2 linked regions of the Bombyx mori genome follow. The protein of the gene in region 2 purifies or fractionates together with the protein of the main gene of each other region. This does not show direct contact. Links are inferred from orthologs where the notes say so. Each region holds a gene or a part of one and is shown on either strand. Other genes may lie near its edges.

The links. Proteins that work in one complex are often made in the same cells at the same time.
Region 1: the proteins of valine--tRNA ligase (region 2) and Ef-1d purify together in Homo sapiens (affinity purification with mass spectrometry; 5 studies listed by BioGRID and IntAct, counting the BioPlex papers as one, with this or other methods). This does not show direct contact. The link is inferred for Bombyx mori from reciprocal best matches to the Homo sapiens genes VARS1 and EEF1D.

Annotation. Positions count from the first base shown.
Region 1 is NC_085111.1:9,758,228-9,764,790, forward strand, and holds the start of Ef-1d (elongation factor 1 delta), read left to right. Parts: upstream 1-2,476; 5' UTR 2,477-2,536; intron 2,537-2,778; 5' UTR 2,779-2,779; coding exon 2,780-2,866; intron 2,867-2,983; coding exon 2,984-3,070; intron 3,071-3,757; coding exon 3,758-3,943; intron 3,944-4,959; coding exon 4,960-5,107; intron 5,108-5,580; coding exon 5,581-5,822; coding exon of another isoform or gene 5,823-5,897; exon of another isoform or gene 5,898-6,563.
Region 2 is NC_085114.1:14,517,003-14,523,476, forward strand, and holds the start of valine--tRNA ligase, read right to left. Parts: upstream 3,519-6,474; 5' UTR 3,374-3,518; coding exon 3,212-3,373; intron 2,251-3,211; coding exon 2,083-2,250; intron 1,697-2,082; coding exon 1,563-1,696; intron 1,074-1,562; coding exon 915-1,073; intron 383-914; coding exon 121-382; intron 1-120. Other genes in the region: Tra2 (transformer 2), read left to right, coding at 6,024-6,038, 6,166-6,299. UniProt on the Homo sapiens protein: Catalyzes the attachment of valine to tRNA(Val).

The sequences.
Region 1 (6,563 bases), on a different chromosome or scaffold from region 2:
ATCAGAACGCTACTTCGACAGAGCGACACGACACATTATCCTTATTATCGTGGCCGCCGCGCATTACATATCCGACTTAGGCGATGGGGCAACACAAGGTCGCCATTGTCCCAAACATTTCTTGTCAGATCCCTCAGAAGCACTCTCGGTTGTTTTAAGCCCCTCAAGCACCCTTACCATCTTCGTTGAACTGACTTAGAAATCCGGGCGTAGCTGGAATAGATCCTTAGATCGTTGAGGCGGTGCGCCAGGTTCTCCTGGACTGGGTGAACCGCGACTGAGATCGTCTCACTTTTCGGTTCATGGACGTGTTCACTGGCCATGGGTGTTTCGGACGGTACCTATGCCACGTTGCCCGAAGGGAACTAACAATGATGTTCCACTTCACAGAATTATGGCTGCGACCAGGATACGGGGGAGGATGCGCCCGAGTACTGCCCCCCGTGGCTGGGTCAGCGCGTGTCCTCGTAGCACAAATAGGACTGACATCGGCAGCGAATGCCGATTGTCAAGGCTACGATGCTCGGTACTACTCGGTAGCGACAAGTCCTGGAAGGCGATGCTCGACTTCTGTGTGTCCACCATTTTATAGAAGCAGGCGGTGGAACGAGAGAGACATAGCTCATCCTTCTCCGCACCGACCCGTTGTCGCCAAGCTGGGGACAGGGAAGAGCTTTCGCTGGACATTAGTCCCCGGTCGTCTCCGGGGCGTGTAAGGAGGCAGTTTCCTCTCGGTAATGATCAGAAGCTGAGATGAGAGGGTTGACGCTACGCCACGTGCTACCGTCAGCCTAGTGCTAGGAGGAAGGGTCTAAGGACGGTGAAAGCGAACGCGTTGCAATCAGGAAGATAAATGACCTGGCAGTCTGGTTCTGACCCAGCAGGATATCTCGAAAGTCCAGCAAGCGCGCCAACTATCCGTGGATGCCAGCGTTCTTAGTTGTCGACGATTGCCTCGTTGACCCGTCAAGTCTAGTTGTAGTGTTAACTGCGAGAACCCCCTACTCCGCCCGGGTTCTGATCTCGGTTGTCAGGTTAAGAGTGCGACGGTAGGCGTTTGGTGGGTGGCCGTAAAATTATCTTTGGGCCTGCGGTCTGCTTCTAACATCTGCAGACCGTCAAGACCTACATACCCCGCATAACCTCTAGATGAAAAAATGTCGCAAGCGGTTTGGTCATTGTTCCAAAAAGAAAAAAGCTTATCGTTTTGATATGGAGGAAAGAAATGAGATAAAATGAGATGAAGTTAGTTTATTTGAGATTTCAATTAATTCGGATGAAATTAAGTGAAGCTAGATAAGATGAGGTGAAACAAAGTCTCAGTAAAATGGTGGTTGCTTAGTGAGACTTTTTAGAGGACTTTTTGAAATAGCTCGAGATGCTAACTATGTCTATCTTTTTATATATTTTTCTACATTTGGGAACTTTCACAGGTGTAAAACAAAAAATAAGCCATCACTATTACACATTTAAAGCTGAAGAAACACTGAATTAAGAAAATAAATCAAATCACAAAACTTTCCCTCCTCGCGTTTCCGCCAAATGTATTTATATATTCTTTCATAATGTATATTCGTATATTTATGGTTGTAGTATTAAGTGTTTAGTAAGAGAAGGACATATGTTGGACGGTTATATTTTGAAGGGATTGGGTTCTTTAGGTGATGAGGGGCTATTTAAAAACACAACTGCTTCATTATAATTATATTGCAGATTGCTTAAACACTTTTACACCATTATACAATTATTATCTTTATATATTTTATAAAACTATTACATGTTTTTCATGCTGTGTCGAGATGAGAAGTCCTACTGACATTTTCTTACGAGAATACAATGATCTGTTTTTTAAAACATTTAAAATAATTCCAATATTCGAAATCTAATCAAGTGTCAAGTGTTGCCTGCCATTACATTTAATATACAAACTCCAACAACATAGATCCAAACTACCACTTTTTTGTTTCTATCGACTTCTTTTGTGTCTTCTTTCACTTATCTAATGATATAACACAAACACAACTTGTTTTGTCCATTCTTATTACATTTAATGTAAATCTGTGCTATTAAGACTTGTGTCACTCGTGATTGCTTCTCAAATCGTCTTTCATTTCTTGACTGGAAAACATTAACTCCAATACAAAAAAATGATAAGTTCGTTTTGCGGAACGAGATTCGGACAACAATTTCAGTAATGCGAATGATTTTTATGTTTGTACAGAAATGGCTTAATTTTTTTTTTATAAAAGAGATGAATATCCGTTCTATGATCCTTTTGCCTCTCATTAAAAGAAACTATAGAACTTTCCTCCATAGACGAAACTAACAACACTGGACCACTCACTGGACACATTTCAATTTTTAGCACTTGTCAATTGTTTTTGGTTGTCTTTGTCTTTTTAGTTTCCGTCATCATTTGAATGGCTGTTAGGTTTGCTCTATTAACTTTATTTACGTAAAAATTCAATTTAATTGTATGAACCAACGTTTTTATTGTATTTAAATACAATTCAAATCTAAATTTTGGAATAATCAGGTTGGTAAATATTTAAAATTATTAGATGACAAGAAACACGTAGGTAGGTAGTTTAGAGATAACCTAGCTTAGGTTTGAAACTTTTGCTACCGCCTTTATTTTCGCTCAATTTTTTACATAATATGGTGATTAATTAATCCACAATTAAATATCGTTTCACGTTCATCGAATAATTTTTCATCATCAATTTATACTTAAAAATGCTTAAATGAGTACTAAGTAGTTTCATTTTAATATTTTAGCATGGCTGCTTTATTACACGAGAAGGTTTGGTTAGACCGGAATGTTTACAATGATGCTGAAAAAGCTTATTATGAATCTTTGTCGAAGGTAAGTTTTTAATAAAAAAAATTATTCATACATTTTTTCATCTGAGTAATTCTATAAATTATACTTTAAAGAATGGAGTTTGTCGATAGTTAACGTAATTCAATGATGATTTTGTAGGTCCAAGCACCATTATCGTTAGCTCGATCATCATTGGCCAGTGAAGTCGCAAAGGCTAGACAGCATATTAAAAATTCTTTAGAATGTGTGAGTAGATGTTGTTTTATTATATTTCACACATTGCTTCACACAAATCTATTAGATTTGTCACAGTATTTATTTGTCAAATATCTGTGTGTAAGGTTATTGTTTCAATAAGCAAAGACAAAGTTTTAATTTCTCATTTTTTATGTTATAACAAATAAAAATCAGCTTATATGCAGGGTACTCTGTGACACAGAGAACATGTCCACTAGCTGCTTTTGCTTTAGATTTCAGGTTTATCAAATATGAGTATATTAGTGACAAGTAACTCTAACGTCATTAGAAAGCTAATATAGTTTTCTGCTTGTGTTAAAATAATCCGTTCAATCCACTTTGTATTTGAGAATGGCTAGATTACATTTTGCATAAGATCTACATTGAACTAATAAAATAAAGTGAAATTGAAATAAGTAAAACAATAAAATTTTGGCTCAGTTCATTTCATATAAAATAAAGGCAATAGAGGTCATTTTCAGTAGCAATTTTTGGCTTGGCTTTTTTGTGCTATGAAATATTAGAGAATCATTCTTGTTTATTTTACTGTAGAAAATTAGTATTGTAAATTAGTATACAACATTTATTTAAATTTATTGTCTTATTTCAATATGCCTATATAAACATGCTAATTAATTAATAGATTTTCATGTCGAGTAGTGCAATAGAGAGTATAGTATTCACTTTTTTTTTCAGATGGATAGTGTAGCAACTTTGGCGGGTGTTCCTAATACAGAGCTCAGTACTAAAGTCATCAGCTTAGAAAACGAAAACAAGGATTTGAAAAAGGCTATAGATGATTTACGTAATTTAGTCATCAGCCTGCAAGTCCGTGTTGAAACCTTGGAATCATCCAGCAGTATCACCTCTGATTGTATTCAAGTAAGCATTGAATTTATAAGGGGAAAGTAATAATAGATTTGGGACATTAGTATTACATATTTTTTTATTGCTTAGATAGGTGGACGAGCTCACAGCCCACCTGGTGTTAAGTGGTTACTGGAGCCCATAGACATCCACAACGTAAATGCGCCACCTACCTTGAGATATGGTTTCATATAGTTACAACAGTCGCCCCACCCTTCAAACCGAAACGCATTACTGTTTCACGGCAGAAATAGGCAGTTTGGTGGTACCTTCTGTACTGCATCTGCGTACTGGAAAGTCTCTTTGAAGCTAACATTGAAAGCTACTGCAACTTAGCAGTTGATTGAATATTTTCAACTTCCACTATCACCTTTAACGCGTTGTTGCTTACTTTAGTTTTCAGCGACCACAGGGTTGATTTTTTAGATTAAAATTTCCATATCAGAAGCATTCAAACTTAAAACGAGTTTTACGTTCGTTTGTGGTGTGCCCTCTGTACACGTCATTAATGCTGTGAGCTGTATGTGCGGCGTTCTTACTGTGACAGATTTCTTATACTCGAATTTTATCATGTAGATATTGATGATGATTGACTAACAATAAATAAATGACTGAATTTGAAAATATAATTCAATATTATTTATATAAATTTATTTGAGCTTAGAATTTATTACCAGCATACTTAAATTACGTTACAAATTGCCAGTGTTGTGAAATGGCAACTTCATGGATTTTCATTGTATGATAAGCTGACATGAAATATATACCCTGTATATTCTGTAAATAGGGTGATCTTTTTTCAAGATTTGGAAGACAATGGGAAAGATTATATGCCAAAACATATGTGTTGCCAAACCATTAATTCCAAAGTTAAGTCTTAAAGTTAATTCCACTGTAGAGCTTCCAGAGTCTTATCAGCAAAATTGGCAATTTCAGGCATTTATTGTCTCTTCTTAAATTTAAAATGCAATAATTTTAAATGTACAAAATACCTATTGTATTACTAAATATATTTATCATTTACCTTTCAGTCAGAAAAACCTGCAGCAGCTTCTACTGATAAGGATGACGAAGATGATGATGTTGATTTGTTTGGTTCAGATGATGAAGAGGAGAGTGCTGAAGCAGCTAAGATAAAGGAAGAGCGTCTTGCTGCATATAATGCAAAGAAAGCTAAAAGTAGGCTATAAACATAATTCTTGCTCCTCTGTGCATCTACTGTGCTGATCTGTTTCTAAAGTGACAGATTGGATACTGCTGTGCCCTGAGCTCAGTCACTTTGTAGGCATAACATTCTACACTTTCTGGGGTGTGGTCTGCATTCCAAAACTATTACATACATAATATTTAACATACATACTTATTACATTCATAATACAATGCTTGGATAAGAAAGATTGTCATTCAGGTTTTCAGGCCAAGTACCATAACATACAATATCCCTTCAAGTTTCCAGTGCTTGTTGGCTACTTAAGCTTTTCTATGAATTTCATCATTCTTGATTACGATAGTAACATGTAAATCATATTTATGACCTTTAAAATTGCCATTTTGCTGATATTAAGAATTTCTAAAAAATAATTAGACCATATTATGATAAATAGTATAAAAGTATAGTATTAATAACCAATCCAAAAATAATTATTTCACAGAGCCAGTGCTAATTGCAAAGTCGAATATTATTCTGGATGTAAAGCCATGGGATGATGAGACTGATATGGCAGCCTTGGAACAAGCTGTAAGGTCAATCAGCACTGATGGCCTCTTGTGGGGTGCCGCTAAACTAGTGCCTTTGGCTTATGGTATCCATAAGCTGCAAATTTCCTGTGTTGTTGAAGATGATAAGGTTTCTATTGATTGGCTTACTGAGGAAATCGAGAAAAATGAAGACTATGTAAGTGTTCAGTGTACTATAGAAAAAATGGTAATAATAAGTATATGGCAGCTAATATCAAATATTGATGCTTAAGTATTCACTGTAGTGCCTGTTATGAACTTGTATAGGACAAGAAAGCCCTTATATTAATGCAGTTGTAACTGTCAACATGCTAAAATGAGGGAGGGGCTTTCTTTATGAGCTCCAGTAATTTCTCAATGTGTGGTCTATAAGATTGTTTGCCGTTTTATTGAATTAAAAAGATATGAACACATAAGATCAGAGAGATTAATTTAAAATATTCTGACAATTTACAAAATTCACGGTTCTTTAATAGAATAGGGAACCAGACGATATTTGGAGTTATAATAAATGACTATCTTACTATGAATTATAATATGCTCATGTATAACGAATACCCACATAATAATATGACCTCATGCATTTATATTGGTGAGAACCAATTGTTTACTGGTGGTAGGACCTTTTGTGAGTCCGCACGGGTAGGTACCACCACCCTGCCTATTGCTGCCGTGAAGCAGTTTCGGTTTGAAGGGTGGGGCAGCCGTTGTAACTATACTGAGACCTTAGAACTTATATCTCAAGGTGGGTCGCGCATTTACGTTGTGGATGTCTACGGGCTCCAGTAACCGCTTAACACCAGGTGGCCTGTGAGCTTGTCCACCCACTTAAGCAGTAAAAAAAAACATCTTATGTAAAGAACAGGTTTGAAAATAATGCAATGTTAGTATGGAAACA
Region 2 (6,474 bases):
GCGGACGGGTACAGCTAGTTATATTATAATAAGATCTATTCTACTCTTTAGGCTTTGCTTCATAGCAGATAGCAGCGCGATCGAACTACATGAAGTAAAGATAATAAAAAGCCATCATACCTTCTGTTCATATCCTGGTATTGCCAACAGAGTTCTTCCAGTCAATTCTAATTTATCTACTTCTATGTCAGAGATAGCGCTCTTCAACGTACAGGACCAGTTGACCAATCGGTTCGCACGATAGATGTCTCCAGCGTCGTGCAATCTTATGAAGGCCTCATTAACAGCTCGGCACATTGATGGGTCCATCGTGAAGCGGACTCTGGACCAGTCGTAGGATGAACCGAGAGACCGAAGCTGCTCGTATATCCGGACTCCTTTTCTGTTATTATTTGATTTACTTTAACTGCGCTTTTTTTTCCTACCTAAGCTGGTAGCCTTGAGAGGCTGTATCAGCGTAAACTTAACTAGTAGGTGAGCTCACGGGGCTCAAACCTGACGACGTTGCTAACACGAACCCTAACAAGAGTGGTGCTTCGGAGAATCTACCACCGGATCGGAAACGCGACCCACTGAGAAGATCCGGCGAGAAACTCAGTGGGTTGTGTCTGAGGGTTAATTTACTCGTCGAGCCCTTCGTCGCAAGCGACGGGTTCGACGAGAACGATGACCGGTTAATTGTGCAATGAATACACTACAACGTTAATTATAAACTACTGTCCGGACACCATCAAAACTTAGTCTGGTTAAAAATAAATGTAAAGGTGATGTAAATGCATTGAAAATAAATCAGCATTAGAACAATTTCGGACAACACTAGTACAACAGTGTTATAAATGTAGTAACATTGATTAAAATTTTTTTTTATCAAATTTTATCAACAGCTTCTCACTGGGTTTATCAATACAACTCACTCATTCTTCCAGTCCCAAACTCGTTTGATGAACTCTTCTCTGCCAAGTTCATGCCGAGTTTTTTTCTCTTCTTTCCAAAGCTTCTTTTCTACCACAACTTGTGTAGCAATTCCGGCATGGTCACAACCAGGATTCCAAAGTGTTGTACGCCCATTCATTCTAAACATATTTAGTATTGGAGTTACTACACTTTTGAACACCTCAATCTTAATGTGACCTCTTTGCCCAGCAATATGCTTTAATAAAAAAAAATTATTAAAAAAATTTGTTCAAAAACGAAAAAAAATTTTTACTAGAATTTTTAATGCATAAAACAATGTTTTTACAGAGATACAATAATCAAGTTACTACAATACTCAGAAAAAAAAAACATTATTTATGTCTAAGCTAATTTAAGAAAAATGATGGGATGGTCAGATAAATCCACAAATCACCATCACCAAGGTCTTGCCTATTTTGTCATGAAGTAGTCGTTCATTCTACTTCAATATAGTCTATTATATAGTTCTTAAACTATATAATAGACCTCAACCTCAATTCTCAATGTGCTGCTTTTATGATGCAAGCTTTACGAGCTCGAGTGACACTTTATATTAAATGGGGTATGAGCGAATTTGACAAACTACATATATAACAAAGATGGATTACCTATGCCACCTAGTTAGTGCATCTTCAACGGCGTTGGTCAGTGCATGTCCAAGATGCAGTGTTCCAGTGACATTAGGGGGAGGTATAACCATCACGAAATTACCCTTCGGATTGGGATCCAATATTGATTTCCTCTGAAAAAAAAAAACATTTTTTTTTGTCTCCCTTATTAGCAGTCAGGGCGAAACAATTCCTTCCAGATAATCTTGATTGTTTTAAATGAGGTCTCTGATAAATAATATCTTATGTACAAATTTAATAATATTCAACTCTTCCAAAATTATACTTATGTAAATAAAATACACCTTTACTGGTATAAAACATGATTTCCAAATAAATGATTATAAAAAAAGGAAATTTTAGGACAAAAACCATATTTCTCTATTTACACACTACAACCAAGTTCATTTGAATTTTAACTTAATCATTGAGCAAAAATTTCAGGAACTTTATTAATTTGACATTTTAAAATTTCCTGTCTTGTCTAAATTTAGTATTAAAATAGATTACAACTACTCACACCATACTCTGGCTTAAAGAAACCCTGTTTCTCCCACCATGCATACCATGCAGCCTCAACATACCGGGGGCTGTAGGCATCGGGCATAGCACCACTGATGTCCTTCATGTCACCAAGCGCTGTGTTGGCCGTGTACACTGCCGCTTCTTTTGATTCCTTAATTTTTTTCTTAAACAAGGATTGATAAATTAAACTTAATTTACAATTATTATTTTTTTGCTTAGATGGGTGAACGAGCTCACAGCCCACCTGGTGCTAAGTGGTTACTGGAGCTCATAGACATCTACAATGTAAATGAGCCACCCACCTTGAGATATAAGTTTTAAGGTCTCAGTATAGTTACAACGGCTGCCCCACCCTTCAAACCAAAACACATTACTGCATATCATACAGCACGGTTTATTTAGCTTGTTTAAGCTCTAATTTTAATTTTTTTTACAGTATTTAGATTCAGGCAAAAGATATTACTTCATAGTTAGGTTTTTTTTACATGTTCGCTGGTAGACTAGGAGGCTATTCCAGCTACGCCCTGATGGTAGGTGAGCTCACTGTCTCAACCTAAGAAATTTGCTAACACTTCTTCTAGCAAGAGCAGTGCCTCAAAGAATCTACCACCAGATCGATCAAAATTGCCACTCACTGAGAAGATCAGAGAGAAATACTCAGTGGGCATTGGTAGAATTAGAGTACAGTTCCCAGTTTTTGTCATGTTGTCATTTTGTCCTCTTTGTCATGTAAAAGCTTTTTCAAGATTTTTTCTAGTTTAGGACTGTTATTACTTGTTGTTGTCTCACAACATAGAACCTTAACATAGGACTAACTAGGCTAAGGCTTTTCATTAACAGAATTTATATACAAATACAGAAATGTTAATTCTTTCCATAATCAAGAAAAATAAATATTATCTATAATATTACTGGATAGCAAAATAGTGTTTAATACCATAATGAATTTAATGAAAAATGTTAGAACTGATGTAATTTTAGTAGTTAATTTCTTTTCACTTTCACTTTATAACCTATTTGTTACTTTATAACCTATGTTGTCTGTTTAAATCAAAAACACTTTCTTCATGGTTATTTTATAACTTAAATATAATATATTGTTTCTATAAAATTACAATAAATACCTCTGGCTTTTCTTTCGTAACAGCTGGTGCCGCGCTCTTCTTGTCCAGCTTGGCTTTGAGTTTTTCTAACTTAGCAGCTTTCTTAGCTTCTTTTTCCAATTGTTTGGCAGTTTTCTCCTGCGGCTGATCTTCCCCAGTATTTTGGGATTCATTGTCAGTCATCTTTACTATTATTATTTAAGTAATTCACCCCGAATTACAGTTCTCCTCTACACAGCAACTACAAAATTATTACACTTCGGTGGCACTTTATCTCTATAGTTAATACATATGTGTATTATGTATAAGACTCTATACAATTGTGTGCTGCGTGGTTTTGACATTGACATTTAAATATTTTTTATGGGATCTTATGACCTGGTAACTAAGACTTTTAGGTCAAGTCTTATTTTAATTTATATTCTTATTTTTATGAAAAATGATATATTATCAGTGAAATATAATGAAATGAGATGAGATGATATGGGATGAAATATAATCTCAGTAAAATGCTGGTTATAAAATTTACTGAGACTTTTTCAGTGGGCTTTTTGGAGGATCCCGAGCTCCTCCAGCTACGTCCAGCGGCTTTGTTTCATTTTCACACATTTTTTCACTTTCAAATATATTAAACAGTTAATAAACCATCATTAACTACATTACATACAAATAGACAAAATAAAACAAATAAGACGACTTCACTCCTCGCGTTCCCGCCAAAAAGTTACATTTGAAACCAAATAATACAATTAGTCCCAACTCTCCGTTTGTAAATAAAATATGATGAAAATTTAATTGTACATGATTTGTTTAAAAAATATATCCCATGAGCATAAATGATACACTTAATAAATAAGTTCACGAATCCATTGTTTTATTTCAGTTTTCAAAAATAACAAATTTTTGAAGTTTTTGAAAAAATTTATAAAAGAAATGATTTAAATATTTTTAATAATAGGACGTTATTTATACCAATTTTCGAAAAATAAATACTTTTCTTCTTGTTTTAATATAAAAGCATCTGAAATATGAAAGTTCTATTATAAATATTAACACAAGCATTTGTGGTAATTATTAGTTTTTAAAATAAATAAAATAAAAAGATTACAATAATTTTTGTGTCTGTCCAAAGTAGTCCAAACCAACATGAAACCAACCATTTTTGTTTTTGTAACCTTCTTGACAATGATGGTCATCATTAAAGTCTTAGCAAAGCTACTATTTAAAAATAAAGTAGTTACGGTCTTAATTAAAAATTACGTTTATATAGTAGTTACATTTTATGCTACGTTTAGAGGTACATATACCAATATTTTTGTTTTTATTATCTATACAAATATATACGAACCAGCTCTCGGCCCACTCGGCCAAAACTCATTGCTGCTTCGCAGCTGAAATAGGCACGGCAGTCATCTGAGCTGGCTCACACTTCCTATTCGTATATTATATATATTGATACCAAAGCTATATACATACCCCGCGTATAATTCATATTGCATCTATTAGAAATTACTGACGTTATTAACTGTGCAAAAAGGACTTTCCGCCGGGAACGTGGGCGCGAAATCGTCTGAATTGTTTTGTCTTGTTAATTTAGTGCTACTTCGGGTTTAAATGTTTTAATGGTAGCTTATTAATCGTTCAGCATCTGCGCAAAAGCACAAGTCTGAGAAAATGAAACCAACAACCAACCAACCAATAAATTCATGCTAGGGCATAATTTCATCTCGTCTCGTTTCATGCTAGTTGATTCCATTTTAATTCACCCCAATTCATTTAACTTTCAGATAAACATTTTGGTTAGTTTAAATGATTATCACGTCAATGAATAAATTTATATAACAAGACAGTTAATGACGGAAAATAGTAACGGTGTGCTCTGAGCCAATTGTGATTCTATCCAAAGGCGGATACGCATGACGTTCAAATAGTGCACAAATGCAATATCATTCTAAATTGACTGAACTTTATTTTTGTGTAAAAAATAGATTTTGATTTTTATTGTATGTTGTATGCTGTAGTAGATTTACATAAATTCCACCGATATGCTATTCATCAATTTACAGAGGGCGCTACCTCATACTATAAAAGATGATTTACAGTTATTTACTAATGACAATATTTTACATATATGTACTTAGACATTTAGGATAATTGTATTTTAATTTTTGGAGGTTTCACTTCTACTACTTATGGATTGCACACATATCTGTTTTTATTTATTTATTTTGTTTAAGACGTAAATAAAAAATATTCGCTAAACTGAGGTTGCATCACTTAAAATCGCAGTAAATCAACGTGATTCAAAGCCTAATTCTTTAATTTATAAATACGTTTATTTATACTCACTTTAGAGCTCATATTGAATGATATCCATATTTGCATCAAAGTAATTGGCTTATTTATTTTATTTTTTTCATTTATTTCAGATTTTCCCTCCATAATTCCCTCCATTCATTAACAACAACATTTCACAATTTATTATCAGCTCGAACTGTTTTTTTCACAGTTAAAAGTATAAATGTATCTCAGATTTAATTAATTAATCTTTAGATGTTCTAAATGTCTCTTCGAGGGTGTCATTTAAACATAAACAGAATAAAATAATTAAACTTGGCTTGCTGGGCTAAAAGATCATGTAGCCATGGCCGTAAACACCTCTTTTTGTGGTTGTAGTAGTCCAAACCAAATTTTGCTTCAACCATTTTGTTTTTCGATTTGCGTCTTCAACGTGCGGTCGCGTCTGTAGATTGAAGTTGATCTTTTAAGTGTATTAATAGAAAATATTCGTGATATTTCGCTTTTGTCTCTCTTATTAACTAGGAACATCGCTATGTCTGATCGAGAGGTATTAAAATAAACTATTGATCGTCATGTACATTTGTTGGCGTTCCCGCCTCGTGCTCTTTATTTTGTGAGCGTTTAGATCTGTAGATATATATTTATTTAAATGTTTTGTGGTTTGCTTATTTCAGAGAAGTCGTTCGAGGACTCGCAACGGTTCTCGCGAGCCGGTACCGAAACCTGCGGTGATGTCCAGAGGACATAGTCGAAGCCGGTCCAGGACGCCGCCCCCGCCAAAAGCAACTAGCAGAAAATATAGAAGCCCGTAAGTTTAGAGGTTTAAACTTTTAGTATATAATGTTGAAACTGATCATTTCGTACATCTAATTTATTGTAGTTTCCACGCTTTACTGCATATTTTGCCATAACCTCGTTGTCAAGGACATAAAGTTGTGGTCAGCGTCGGTTGCGCAATTTGCATTAAACCGGCTGTATAATTA